2 linked regions of the Oryctolagus cuniculus genome follow. The protein of the gene in region 1 purifies or fractionates together with the protein of each later gene. This does not show direct contact. Links are inferred from orthologs where the notes say so. Each region holds a gene or a part of one and is shown on either strand. Other genes may lie near its edges.

The links. Proteins that work in one complex are often made in the same cells at the same time.
Region 2: the proteins of KIF22 (region 1) and KPNA4 purify together in Homo sapiens (affinity purification with mass spectrometry; 3 studies listed by BioGRID and IntAct, counting the BioPlex papers as one, with this or other methods). This does not show direct contact. The link is inferred for Oryctolagus cuniculus from reciprocal best matches to the Homo sapiens genes KIF22 and KPNA4.

Annotation. Positions count from the first base shown.
Region 1 is NC_091450.1:7,227,353-7,230,869, reverse strand, and holds part of KIF22 (kinesin-like protein KIF22), read right to left. Parts: intron 2,205-3,517; coding exon 2,009-2,204; intron 721-2,008; coding exon 593-720; intron 506-592; coding exon 351-505; intron 169-350; coding exon 1-168. UniProt on the Homo sapiens protein: Kinesin family member that is involved in spindle formation and the movements of chromosomes during mitosis and meiosis. Binds to microtubules and to DNA. Plays a role in congression of laterally attached chromosomes in NDC80-depleted cells.
Region 2 is NC_091435.1:120,222,275-120,225,791, reverse strand, and holds part of KPNA4 (importin subunit alpha-3), read right to left. Parts: intron 2,063-3,517; coding exon 1,893-2,062; intron 1,461-1,892; coding exon 1,416-1,460; intron 1-1,415. UniProt on the Homo sapiens protein: Functions in nuclear protein import as an adapter protein for nuclear receptor KPNB1. Binds specifically and directly to substrates containing either a simple or bipartite NLS motif.

The sequences.
Region 1 (3,517 bases):
CAGCCGGGTGGCTCCTACCGTCCGATTTCGACTGGCTGGCAGGAAGTGCTGCTCAAAGTCAGCAAAGCTAGTGATGGGCTTCTGCGTGAGGCCCGGAATCAGGATATTTCCCCGGCAGTCTTCTCGGATCACCAAGTCCCCGGATGCAGGGTCCAAGAGGTCCAATACCTGTCGAAGCACTGCGGGTTGGGGGCCCGGCTCTCCACACACAGGCCGCGCTCTGCCTGGGACGCAGGGCTGTCCCATCGGCTACCTAATGTTACCAACTTGCTGGAGTGCAGCTTGATGTTCTAGAACTGAGTCGTCTTGACCCTTCTGTCTCTCCCTCCCCAGCCAGAAGGGGGCCTCACCTTTTCCTGGTATATCTCTAAGTAGGACATGGTGACAGAGAGGGCCCATGGCCGGCCCTCGGCTCCCTCCTCCCTCGTGAGCTGCAGGAGGTCCATGAGAGCTCGGGGGATCACTCCAGGCTGCTCCGGGCTGCCCAGCATTGTGTGCGTCTTTCCTGGGGAAGAGTGGAGAAAGCTGTGAGGGCCGGCTCTGCATCTCCCCGCCCCTTGCTGACCTGTAGCGGCCGTGTCTGGCCCCTCACCTGCCCCAGTGGGCCCATAGGCGAGCACGCTGGCATTCTGCCCTTCCAGCAGGTGCCTCAGGATGGGCTGCACAGAGCCTGCATAGACGTCCTGCTGAGAGCTCCGGTCCCCATAGAAAGCATCAAACCTGGAGGCAGAGAGGAAGCAATCAGCAGGGGTTCCGGGCCCACCCTGACCTGGGGGACACTGGCCCCAGGTCTAACGGAGGGCCTCCATCGCTTGTGTTGCACAGTGACCCGAACGAGCAGCCCCGGAACACCTGCTCCGGCCCAGGCCCCGTTCTGGTGTTAGGGATACAGAGCTGCATCGGATGGCCCTGCTCTTGGGGGTTTTGTAGTCTGTGGGGACGGTAGATAACCTAGACTTTGCTGGGCCTCAGGAAACAAAGCTGAGAGCGCACTGGGAGGAGTAACCCATTCTGCTTGCAGAAGGAGGACTTCGCCACCAGAGACAAGAGAAAGAAATTCTAAGTAGTAAGAGCAGCACAGAGACAAGATGTGCTGTGAAAGGCCAGGGCTGGCCGATCTTTCTTCCCACCGCGGCATCTACAGAAGGCGGGATCTGCACAGCCTGGGGGAACACCTCTAGCCCACCCACGGCACTCTGTGGAGAAGCTGTGGCTCAGGGGTTTAGCATGTGGTGGGGGAGATGAGGCTGGGAAGAAACTGAAGGCCAACTGTCAAAGGCCTAGAACAAAGCTGGCAAACTTTTTCTGGAAAGAGCCAAACAGGAAATATCCTGAGGGAGTGGGAGAGGGGAGGGTTGCGGGTGGGAGGGAAGTTATGGGGGGGGGGGGCATTGTAATCCATATTCTGTACTTTGGAAATTTATATTCATTAAATAAAAGTTAAAAAAAAAAAAAAGGAAATATCCTGGGCTCCGCAGGCCACGTGGTTCCCTTCACAACTCCTCAGCCTTGCCACTGCGCCTGGAAAGCAGCCACGGACGCTGCGTAAATAAGTCATCAAACTATTTAGAGAGACTGCTGCTCAGATTTGACCCGCAGGCTGTGGTTCCCCAACCCCCAGCCTAGGATAACAGGCCGAGGAGTTTGATCTTTAAATCCCTCACAGGACTTTAAAGTAGCTGCCCTTGTGAGTTCTGTCCGCGGACCCCGGGGTCTCTGACCCCACCCAGCAGCAGCCTGGGCAGTCTACCTGCCCTGGGCTTCTACCCCCTTCCCACCTGTCGCTGTCCCACTTGCGGCTCCCCGCCCCTCCCATGCTGCCATCTCCCCCCCAGCGTCTGACGCGGCCCACACAGGACCCACGGCAGCAGGCCCGGGAACACCTGCGAGTGAACAAACGCGGTGCGCGGCCCACAGCTGGGGTGAGGAGGCAGGTCTGAGAAACCGTCTGGGCAGGTGGGCATGCGAGCCGGCCCACGAGAGGGAAGCGGAACGGCCGGAACCTTACTGGTATTTCAGAGTCTCCTGGTAGTTCCTCCAGTTGGCAACCTCGAGGGAGCAGCTGTCGATGCCCCGGACGCAAGGGGGCTCACTCGCTGCCGCTGCTCCATCCACGAAGGGACGCAGGCGCACAGCCACCCTTACGCGGGCTGGAGGTGGGCGGCGGCCAGCCCCAACCTTGCTCAGCCGACAGCGACCAGCTCCTGGAGGAGAGATGTAAGGTTTGTTTCTGTTGTTTTTATTTGACAGGTAGAGTTATAGATGGTGAGCGAGAGAGACAGAGAGAAAGGTCTTCCTTCTGTTGGTTTACTCCCCAAATGGCCGCTATGGACAGCGCCGCGCAGATCCGAAGCCAGGAGCCAGGTGCTTCCTCCTGGTCTCCCACGCGGGTACAGGGAGAGAGATGTAAGTTTTAGGCATGAAGTTTGATGGTCACAGCTCACTATAGGGAGAGTCCTTTCCACCCTGTTCCGCCATGGGCAGCCCCAGGTCCTCCATGGCCTACAGGGAGGTCCAGTGGGGTGGCCAGCAGGCTCCTCAGGCTGTAATGAATACACAAATAACTGGGACGATCCGGCTGAAGTGCGGATTTAGCTTCAGTCCCTGGGGCGGAGACCTGAGACAAGGCAGAGTTAGAGAGAGATAAAGATCTCCCATCAGCTGATTCACTCCCCAAATGGTTGCAATAGCTGGGGCCAAGCCAGGCCGAAGCCAGGCACCAGGAGCTTCTTCCAGGTCTCCCATGTGGGTGCGAGGCCCACGTCCTCAGGGCATCTTCTGCTGCTTTTCCAGGAAACTGGATTGGAAGTGGAGCAGCTGGGATGCCGGCATCGCAGGCAGCGGCTTAACCTGCTTATGCCACAACGCTGGCCCCGAGAGCTTGCATTGCTGCTTCTTCTTCTTCTTCTTCTTTTTTTTTTTTTTTTGACAGGCAGAGTGGACAGTGAGAGTGAGAGTGAGAGAGAGAGAGAGGTCTTCCTTTGCCGTTGGTTCACCCTCCAATGGCCACCGCAGCTGGTGCGCTGCGGCTGGCGCACCGCGCTGATCCGAAGGCAGGAGCCAGGTGCCTCTCCTGGTCTCCCATGGGGTGCAGTGCCCAAGTACTTGGGCCATCCTCCACTTCACTCCCTGGCCACAGCAGAGAGCTGGCCTGGAAGAGGGGCAACCGGGACAGAATCCGGCACCCCGACCGGGACTAGAAACCAGTGTGCCGGCACCGCTAGGCGGAGGATTAGCCTAGTGAGCCGCGGCGCCGGCCAAGCTTGCATTTCTAACAAGCTCCCGTGTGCAGCTGCTGGGCATGGTTTGAACCGCAAGGTGAGCAGAGCTGCTCTAAGGACTAAATGTGCTGATAGCCATCCCCACCTAAAACCAGACAATGACCTAATTCTCTGTGCTCTGTTTCTAACCTGGGTTTAAAATACACGGATGTACACACACACACGTGTACACACACACACACACACTCTGCCTATTAATGATCGTTTTCTCCTCATGGAGGATTACATGGGTGTAT
Region 2 (3,517 bases), on another chromosome or scaffold:
CTTAAAAAACATCTTTAGAGCAAAGAGCATGTTTAATAAATTTTGTACATTATATCACTACTTGATGTAGCAAAATTCTGATTTTAATTTGTTCTACATACTTTTAGGGGATTCTGGCAAAAAAAAAGTATAATCCTAAAACTGTAAAGAAATGAAATAGCTCATCAAACACTGCTATCACCATAGCAAATCGTTTTTTAAAGAAACACATTACTTTCTGATTATTGCTATCTATATTTCACACATGGATAGTCCCTTACCTATTATATTCCCTAGTTTTTCTAACAAATCAAAGGCTAGTCTGGCTTTTATAAAAAATCAGGTCAGTTTCCCACCTCATTTATTTGTTATGTTTAAAATCTTGCTTGTGCTGTTTTCTTCCCTTGTTTGAGAATAGTATTTTTTTTTTTTTGACATGCAGAATGGACAGTGAGAGAGAGAGAGAGAGAGAGAGAGAGAAAGGTCTTCCTTTTCCACTGGGTCACCCCTCAATGGCCGCTGTGGCCAGAGCACTGCGCTGATCCGAAGTCAGGAGCCAGGTGCTTCTCCTGGTCTCCCATGCGGGTGCAGGGCCCAAGCACTTGGGCCATCCTCCACTGCACTCCTGGGCCACAGCAGAGAGCTGGACAGGAAGAGGAGCGACTAGGACAGAATCCGGCGCCTCACCTGGGACTAGAACCCGAGGTGCCGGCGCCAGTCATTATAACTGGGAGAAATGGAGTAAAAATATGAAGAACAACTGATGTTCATAGGTTTGGTAAATGTATAGGAATACAAACTCATGCATACAGGCACAGTATTTCTACTCATTTTTCAAAAAACAAAAATGTCACTAAGTGCATGTTATCTGTATTATAATTGGCCAGGTTATCAATAAAAGCTTCCATTAAACATTCATGAACAAAGATAATCTTAGTAAGGGAGATTACTGACTAGAAACTTAAAAACTTTCTATATGAGTTTTTCTAACATTGATATACATGAGAGCACTTCAAAATCTGTGGAGACATCAAATTAAAAGACAAGCTTATTTTAGTGAAGAAAAAAAAAAAACCTGAAATCCATCCAGTTTCTTCATAATATACAACTTCCTTGAAGTTTTTGAAGACAACTTGTACATACATACATCTTTATGTATGTACATGTACATTACTGCATAGACTAAAATAATAACTGGGCTTGACTTCCTCACTGAAATTATATTTTATGATACAGGTAAACATAAATATAAAAATACCAAATTTGTATTTCAACCCTTGAAGTACAAAAATCAGATAGTACAATGACATGTCTTCAAATAACATTTTCTCCCCAATTTCCAGCCCTAAACATAAATGTACATAAGATATATACACACACACATAATAAGACATAAATGTATATACATAAACATAGGATAGAAAGCATTTACTCACATTTACGTCTGTATGATGAATTAAAACACAAAGGGCTGGAAGAATCTAAAGAGAGAATTATACAGATTGAAAAATACACATATATAACAACATACATAATGGTATCCTCTTTAATACCTACTTTTAAAAAATTTACTTATTTTCATTTCATTTGAAATATATATATAGAGAGAGATCTTCCATACATTGATTTACTCTCTAAATGCCTGCAACAGCTGGGGCTGGGCCAGGACTAAGCCAGGAGCCTGTAACTTAATCTGGATCTCTGGGTGGGTATCAGAGACCCAAGGACTTGAGCCACCATCTGCTGCTTTCCCAGGGTGCAAATTAGAAGGCAGATGGAATTGGAAATGGACTGGGACTCAAACCCAGGCACTATGATATGGAAAGCAGATGTCCCAAGTCGTGTCTTAACCACTGTGCCAAACATCCACCCCATCAACTTAAAAAACTAAAATTAAAAATAAAAATTTTTACCTCTTGAATGGTTTCCATTGGTGGTGGTGGGTCTTTGTGGCGACATAAGTTGACCATAACCCAAGTAACATTTCTTAAGAATGTTATAGGAATAGATGGACTTATGAACGAAAGTAAAGGTTTCACAACTCCAAGACTTATGACATAATCTCTACACCGGGGCCCATCACCTGTAGAAATAATTTATAAATTCAATAAAATATAGTGACAATAAGTTTTTCAGAAAACATAAAGTACTGGGTCCAATATGTGGCTTCCCATACTTTAAAAATTTCTTATAAATATTTATTTATTTGATATGAAGAATTACAGAGGGGGTAAGAAGGAAGAGAGATCTTCCATCTACTGGTTCACTCCCAAAATGGCCTTAATGGCTGGCTGGGCCAGGCTGAAGCCAGGAACCTGGAATTCCAACTGGGACTCCCAAGTGGGTATCAGGGACCCAAGTACTTGAGACATCACCTGCTGCCTCTCAGAATGCACACGTGCAGGAAGCTGCATGCATTGTATGTGGAGCGGGACTTGATCCCAGACACTCTGATACAGGATGCAGGTTTCCAAAGTGGCAGCTTAACCTGCTGCACTGCAACATCCACTCCTGCGTTCTGGATTTTAACCAGATGTATTACTTAGTTTCTAGTCAGTGATAACCAAGTTCATACTCTAGGCCTTAGGAGCCATAGATCTTTGGACCAAAAGAAGCAACATAAGATGTTACAGTACTCTTTTAAATATTATTCACATGTGGGACTTTATAAACTGCTCTCTTATCAAATGTCTTCATACCAGCTAAATTTTGGAGGGCTTACGGTTTTCAAAAATACTTTGTGGGTGGATAACTGCTGCTTTTATCTTCTCTTTCAATGTTATTTCATATAATTAAAAAAGTATAGGGGCCAGTACTATGGTGTAATAGGTTAAGCTTCTGCTTGCAGCGCTGGCATCCCATATAGGTACCAGTTCAAGTCCCAGCTTTTCCTTTTCTAATCCAGCTCTCTGCTTATGGCCTGGGAAGGCAGCAGAAGATGCCCAAGTGCCTGGGCCCATGCTCCTGCATGGGAAACCCAGAAGAAGCTCCTGGCTTCAGGATCGGCTCAGCTCTGGCCACTGCGGCCATTTAGGGAGTGAACCAGCAGATAGAAGATCTTTCTGTCTCTCCTTCTTTCTGTCTGTAACTCTACTTCGCAAAATAGATAAATAAAATCTTTAAAAAAAGTATAGAAATACTCTTACAGAGAAAATATGTGTTGAATTTCCATGTATGACTCAGTATCAGTGGACCAAAACAGTGAATGACAAATTATTCTGTACACTTAGAAAACTATGTCAGAAGAAAAGATAGTCCTATAATAGTCCTAGAACAATGATTCATTCCCAATGTGGTTTTTGGGCTTGTGCTCAGAGCAAAATCTCTGTGGGTACAGGAGTCCGTGTTTTAATAAAGTCTCTATATGATTCTGACAGTATGCTAAAGTTTGAGAACTAATGCCACAGAGAACTGTCAGATCAATTTCTGAATTGTCACTGTAATTTCTAATATGAAGGCATGCTGAAGTTACTATCCTGTGAAAACATTTTTTTCCTGCACTAAAATATTTAGAGATAAAACAATTGCTCCCTTTGCA